Linked DNA regions of Rattus norvegicus. The protein of the gene in region 1 binds, or shares a complex with, the protein of each later gene. Links are inferred from orthologs where the notes say so. Each region holds a gene or a part of one and is shown in the gene's direction. Other genes may lie near its edges.

Evidence for each region. Proteins that work in one complex are often made in the same cells at the same time.
Region 2: Syncrip (region 1) and Igf2bp1 share a complex: the UniProt entries of both Homo sapiens proteins name them as parts of the coding region determinant (CRD)-mediated complex. The link is inferred for Rattus norvegicus from reciprocal best matches to the Homo sapiens genes SYNCRIP and IGF2BP1.

The regions. Positions count from the first base shown.
Region 1 is NC_086026.1:98,308,773-98,312,425, reverse strand, and holds part of Syncrip (heterogeneous nuclear ribonucleoprotein Q), read left to right. Parts: coding exon 1-45; intron 46-2,293; coding exon 2,294-2,407; intron 2,408-2,505; coding exon 2,506-2,682; intron 2,683-2,692; exon of another isoform or gene 2,693-3,653. UniProt on the Homo sapiens protein: Heterogenous nuclear ribonucleoprotein (hnRNP) implicated in mRNA processing mechanisms. Component of the CRD-mediated complex that promotes MYC mRNA stability.
Region 2 is NC_086028.1:81,413,225-81,416,877, reverse strand, and holds part of Igf2bp1 (insulin-like growth factor 2 mRNA-binding protein 1), read left to right. Parts: intron 1-251; coding exon 252-533; intron 534-1,314; coding exon 1,315-1,449; intron 1,450-3,321; coding exon 3,322-3,444; intron 3,445-3,653. UniProt on the Homo sapiens protein: RNA-binding factor that recruits target transcripts to cytoplasmic protein-RNA complexes (mRNPs). This transcript 'caging' into mRNPs allows mRNA transport and transient storage.

The DNA.
Region 1 (3,653 bases):
AAAGTAGCAGACTCTAGTAAAGGACCAGATGAGGCGAAGATTAAGGTATGCTTTTAAAACTTTCTGCAGCTTTACAACCCTCCCAGTTATTTAAGAGCTTTGTCAAATGTTCCTGAAGTGTGCCCGGGTACATATATTTCTAAGGTTATTCCTGAAGTGCGCGCGCGCCGCGCGCGCACACACACACACACACACACACACACACACACACACACACACACACACGCATGTGTATTTCTAAGGTTATTGTCTTCTAATGAGTACACTTTGAAAAAAAAGATTGACTGTGTCCACTTTTGGTTTTTGAAAATCACTGCAGTTTGTCTGGCTACTACTGTTCCAACCTGTGTGTGCTGTCACTTACAAAAGTGTAAGAAACATTTAAAGAGGTGGTTAAGTCTAAATGTTTACAGATTACTGATCAACAAAACTGGGAGCAGATTGGCTGGCTGCTTTTTTTTTCCCTTTAGGAGGGCAGGGTCCCAATGAATTTAGAATTTAGTATTGTTTCTTTTATTGGGTTATGAAGGACAGTTATTTCTAAAACCAAGTTTGGTAAGCAAGGACAATGGGTTGGGAGTGAAAGTTTCTTTTGTTGCAGGTTGGTTGTTTTTAAGGTCCTAGAAGATTAAATGGCCTCATTTAGGTAGTGTTCTTGGTGAGTTAGGTGTAGTTCAAAGAGTATAGTTTATATTAGTTTTTAGATTTTAGTAATGTACCACTTCTTTAGGCAAGAGCTATGGTTTAAGAAAAGCAGTTGCTAAGAAGGGCATAAATGTGTGGTATTATACCTCTATTGGAAAAGGAAGCCTAGATCATGTGGACAAGATTGGAGTATGATGTTGTTTGTCAACAGTGTGAGTTTTTACAAAGGATTGTGAACGAATTGAATTTAGGTTCCCAATAAAAATGGGGTTTATAGTCTGTATTGCAATTATGCCAGTGCGATTGGGGAATTATTAATTTCTGAAGAGTTGTGTTTGGATTTGAACTTAGAGCCTCAATGCTTTTAACCACTGAGGCATTTCTCCAGCCCTTCCTTCATAAGAGTTATACCTTTGAGTAAATTTGAGTAATGAAAAAGCCATTTAGATCATACAGTTTTTTGTGAAACTTTGTTAAACGTTTATGAATACCTTTAAAATTGATATATTTTTATAAGTCAGGTTTTTGGGGGGGATAAATTACATCAAGGAAGCATCCTATACATCGTTCCCACAATTTCATATGTAATGCTGTTTGAGTAAAAAAAAAATTTTTGGGAGATTGAGGTGACTTAACATTTTGATAAGTTTTATCTTATGGTCCTTATTTTGAATTGTTAACTAGTTAATAAAATAGTTTTGTTACTTAGAGAACTTTCCTCGTTGATACAGAAGCGGACTTTTGGGCTTATTTGGCTAAACAGGTTACACATGTCCTTTTTGTCACTTTTACCTGTAATAACGGATGAAGAAAAACCCCTAATTGAGTAAAATGAGTTATAAGTTTTAACAAGTTGAGGGAGATAAAAGTTCTATGATTGTAGTTTCTTACTGTTTTTCAAAATCATTTTGGCTGCTTTTCTTCTGAATGAGCCATGCTATTTGTGGTACACAACACTTTGACAGCAAATAATAGAAAAGCTTTTCATATAGCCTTCCAAGTTTATAGACGTGATTTAAGGGGTGGAGGTGACAAAATGCCCACAAATGGTATTGTGTGTCTTTGGGTGGGTTAAGAGTTTATTGGGTAAGAAATACAGAGTTCAATAGTAATCAAATTGTTGCATTTTTAATGAGGTATACTTGTGCGCCCCCCCCGCCCCCCCAGTGTGTATGTGGTATGTGTCTGTGTTTTGAGACCAGTTTCTCAGTGTAGCCCTGTCCTGGAACTCTGTCTTTGTAAACCAGGCTGGCCTTGAACTCAGAGAGATCCCATGGCCTCTGCTTATTGAGTGCTGGGATTAAAGCCATGCCTGCTTTAAATGAGGTTTCTCTTAGCAGACTCAATATATATATATATATCTTAGAAGTTGCTGGTGGGTCGATTTTAATTTTTATTGCTCAGTAATTAATTGGCCAATAACAATGATATGCACAGGATTCTGAAATTTTGATTGTAGGTTACATGAAAGGGAGAATGTTTTTTTTTAATTGGATATTTTATGTAAAAAGGGAGAATTCTAAAACAGATCTTACTCATTTGTATGGAGCAATGTTGCTAAGATTGGTAATATTTGAATGGGATTGACTTAATTACTAAAAATCTGTATTTTAAATGAAGCATTAACAACATTTTGAACTTTTTAAAGGCACTTTTGGAAAGAACAGGCTACACTCTTGATGTGACTACAGGTCAGAGGAAGTATGGGGGGCCACCTCCAGATTCTGTTTATTCAGGTCAGCAGCCTTCTGTTGGCACTGAGGTAAAGAACCTTAAACTTACACCATTTGTAGTAAAAAAAAATACAGCTCTAGTTTCTAAAGAATTGTCCATGATTGTGAATTCATATTTAATTTTCAGATATTTGTGGGGAAGATCCCCAGAGATCTGTTTGAAGATGAGCTTGTTCCATTGTTTGAGAAAGCTGGACCTATATGGGATCTTCGTTTAATGATGGATCCACTTACTGGTCTCAACAGAGGTTATGCCTTTGTCACTTTTTGTACAAAAGAAGCAGCACAAGAGGCTGTTAAACTGGTAAGTTTTTTGTTTTTTTCTTCTCCTTTTTCTCTAGGCTTAATGTCAGTTTTTGCTTAATGTGTTTTATCTGGTGGTTTTTGAAGTGCCGTGTTTTCCTGTGTATATGCATTATAGAAGGGGTATTTGATAAGATTCAGAATCTGTAGATGGTACGGAATTTCTAGTTTGTGCTTCTGGCTTTGGATAGCTCTGGGTAAAATTAAAGGAATATGAGAATTTTTCTTAGACCACATTTTTCCTTCATCACAAATTCACAAAACACCCATTTATTTTAAATAAGTAAATAAATAAGACAGCTCTTAGAAACACTGGCTGTTCTTCCCGAGGCCCCACACTCAACTCTTGAGTACCCACAGGGCAACTCAAAACCATCTGAAACTCTAGTTCTTGGGGATTTGATGCCCCCTTCTGGTGACGCCAGGCATGCATGTGGTGTACAAGTATGTGGACCAAACACCCATACACTTAAAATAAAAAGACAGTACAGTTAAAATTCACAGAAGATACCAGGATGATATATTCTAAGTAGCAACATAAAGGTTTTTTTTTTTTTTTTTTGGTTCTTTTTTTCGGAGTTGGGGACAGAACCCAGGGCCTTGCGCTTCCTAGGTAAGCGCTCTACCACTGAGCTAAATCCCCAGCCTCATAAAGTATTTTTTTTGTGAGCGGGAATGTTTGATTTAAAAACAAGCAGATGTTTGGTGAGAACCTAAATTTCCTAACATTTAAAAATGTATAAAATTATGAAATATTTAACAGAATTTTTTTCTTTTAATTCTTTGAATCAAAAAGATTGAGCCAGGGTGTAGTAGCTCTGAATTTCTGTACTGAGGCATGAGGACTGTCATGATTGAGGCCCCTGTGGTGTGGTGGCGAGAAACCCAATAGGAATATACAGTAGGAAAGAAACACACCCCAATAGCAACAGCAGTAATTGAAGAAATAAAAGCTATTAACTTGAGAGCAAG
Region 2 (3,653 bases), on another chromosome or scaffold:
TTTATTGGAAGATTTTTATGAACAATAAATGCCAAGGAAGCAAGTGGCATTGCTGTATCAGTTACTTTTCCGTTCGTGTCTTCTCTCTCAGACCAGAAAGTTCCATAGTGATGGAGGGGTGGTAGACAGAAGGTTAGCTACAGTATCCCCAGTGTGTTCCCATCTGTAACTCAGTAGGTGCTTTTTGGGTAAGGACGGCACTTGGTATGGTTGGCATGAGTTGGAGTGACAATTGGACTACCTGTTCCTAGAGCCATCATGAAGCTAAATGGCCATCAACTGGAGAACCATGCCCTGAAGGTTTCCTACATACCTGATGAGCAGATAGCACAAGGTCCTGAGAATGGGCGCCGTGGAGGCTTTGGGTCTCGAGGCCAGCCCAGGCAGGGGTCACCGGTAGCAGCAGGGGCGCCAGCCAAGCAGCAGCAGGTGGACATCCCTCTCCGGCTCCTGGTGCCCACGCAGTATGTAGGCGCCATCATTGGCAAGGAGGGTGCCACCATCCGAAACATCACAAAACAGACTCAGTCCAAGTGAGTGTTGGGAAAGGGAGGTGGATGCAGGGAAGAGGTGGGCCTGGGGCAGCTCCGGGAAGCACATGGTTTGGGCATCAGCACTTTTGTCCTTGGAATGTTGCAAGGGACGGTCACTGTTGCCAGTGTTACCTCTGTGTTAAGAGTTGGGCAAATGAGGAGGCAGATGGGTCTGGGTTTACTGTCTCCAGAAGGAAGAGTTGCTCATATCAGGGTGCTCCAGGATACTCAGTCCTGTGAGCTGGGAGTTAGCCACTGGTCGGGTACTCTGGGATAAGTAGCCACTTCATGATGGTCACAAGCTGGACAGCCTGGCTTAAAAAAGGTCAGGGTTCTTTGGCATAAGTCGTAATTATGTCCCATTGTAGTACGGCCACCTGCTTTCCTGTTGTTACAGATAAACAGTGGTTATGGGGAAGAACGGCTCAGCTCGTATCCCTAACATACACAGTAAATCATGATTATTTACTTGTCGTTGGGGCAGTGTGTCTTCCAGTACATTGTTTGAAAAAGGACACTGGAAGGAGAAAGATAACTGTACAGTCATACACAGCTGGGGAATATCCCCATCCAGTAGCTGTGAGGTGGCCTGCATTGTCCTTTTAGAGATGGGCAGAGCAACACCTGGCTGTGGCTCCCAGGCCCCTTCTTGAGTTTCCTGGTTCTATACTTGACAGGCCCCATTCTAAGGAGAGTGGACGCTAGGCTTTTAATTGACAAGAGATGGGGAAGTCCGGTGTTACTGGAGACAACTAACCAGCTTTCTCCTTGTGGTGCTCAGGATAGACGTGCACAGGAAGGAGAACGCGGGGGCTGCGGAGAAGGCCATCAGTGTGCACTCGACCCCTGAAGGCTGCTCCTCGGCCTGTAAGATGATCTTGGAGATTATGCACAAGGAGGCAAAGGACACCAAGACGTAAGACCCAGCTGCACTCGTGACGGCGATGCACAGCTTTCGTTTTCTGGTTTTTCTTTTTTGGCTGCACCAAGAGTGAAGGCCAGGGCTTTACACCTCCCAGGCAGGAAATTTGCTGCTGAACCATGCGCCGCCCTCAGGCCACCCTCAGACTTGTTAATAGCAGCGAAACAGATTAAGAGAGAGTCGCAGGCTGTACACAAACGTAGGAGTTGGCAGATAAGCTCTTATCCTTGTATAATTGTATAGAAATCTTATATACTCGATGTTTATATTTGTGTCTATGTATATGCATATATGTATATGTATATATATGGGTGTGTGTGCATTAGGGTCTTCGTGAATGGAGTATGCAGGTAGATGTGTTAGCACAGAGGTCAGGCTGAAATCCCTCTATGCCTTTTATAAACTCTTTGGTCACCTCGGTCAGTAAATACAAAGTTCCTACAGAAAGGGAAGCGACAGAGGGCTTGAAATATAGCATGGTAGCATGCAGTGGATGCCTGCATGTGTGAGGACCTGACTGTGGGCCCCTCTAATGCAGAACAGTGCAGGGGATTCACTTACAATAATTTGGTTCTGGGTCCTGTGGAAGGGTGGGGTATTTGAGGTAGGATCCCTGTACCCTGGTTAGCCCTGAACTGCTGTGACCCTGCTCTCTGCTATACCACCTCACCAGGCTTCCGTTTCTACTCATTTTCTTGAGACTGGCTTGGGGTGGAGAGATGGCTCAGCCGTTAAGAGCAGATATTGTCCTATTAGGACCAAACTTCACATCTCACCCATCTTCATACTGGGTGTCTCACAAACTCAAGCTCCAAGCGATCCAATGCCTCATCTTCTGACTGACTTCCACAGGCAACTTCACATCACCCTACCTCCCACACACAATCTTTGAGAAGAGCGGGTCTTCCACAGGCTGTGCTCATGGGTGTTCTTAAATCCGCTGATAATTAAGCATCATCACACTAAGTTTAGTTGTTTTCCTTTTTCACTTGTTTTTTGTTTAGTTTTGTTTGAGACAAAGTGTCTCCATTTGAGGCTGGCCTTGAACTCACAGAGCTCTGCCTGCCTCTCTGCCTCCTGTGCACCGTAATGTCTGTCTAAGTGGTTTTGTTGTTGTTGTTTTTTTTTTTTTTAATTCTTTTAATTTTTAATTTCTTTTTTTTAAAGATTTATTTATTTATTATATATAAGTACACTGTAGCTGTCTTCAGACACACCAGAAGAGGGCATCAGAACTCTTTACAGATGGCTGTGAGCCACCATGTGGTTGCTGGGAATTGAACTCAGGACCTCTGGAAGAGCAGTCGGGTGCTCTTAACCGCTGAGCCATCTCTCCAGCCCTTGTTGTTGTTTTTTAAGACAGCTTTTCTTTTTAGGGTTCAACTAGTATAATAATGCTGTGCTTGTTTGCGGATTGCCTAGGTTAGCCTAGAATTCCTGGATCCTCCAGCTTCAGCCCAAGCAGCTGGGACTGGAAGGCAAATGCCAGCACATTGTGTGTCCTTTCTTTCTTCACCTTAGGGGTGAAGCCTGGGCCTCATGCTGGACAGACAACAGTACTACTGAGCTAAGTCCCCAAGCCAAGTGTGCACAGTTTTTAGTGTGCAGTCATATGACGTTCCATTTGCATGTGTTGACCATGTACCTGTTGCCTGTGATCACAAACATAAATAAAACTGTGGCTCCCGAATTTCAGACTGCAGTCCTTGTCCCCCATTTCTCTGTCCAACACTGAGCTCTGCTGGGTTTGTAATCTTGACAGCTTGGCTCAGGGTTTGTTCTGGGTTCGCATAGTTGGGTAAGTTGGGTAACATAGTTCGGTCTTTGTTGACATCATTGACCAGGCTGTCCCCCACTTCCTCCCAGGGCAGACGAAGTTCCCCTGAAGATCCTGGCTCATAATAACTTCGTGGGGCGACTCATTGGAAAGGAAGGGCGGAACTTGAAGAAAGTGGAGCAGGATACAGAGACTAAGATCACCATCTCCTCGTAAGTCTCTCAGTGGTTTCCTCCTCAGCGGTGGTGAACTCAGGGTGGGGTACAAGGGACCTGCCACTAAGCCTTAGCACAACCCCTTTTTGGGATGAATCGAATTGGAGAAGTGGTGAGATCATTTTGTCCTGCTCAATAAGGGCTGGAGCACCTTAAGACCTCCCCTTGGCACAACGTTCTAGATTCGTGCATCACCACGAAAGCCT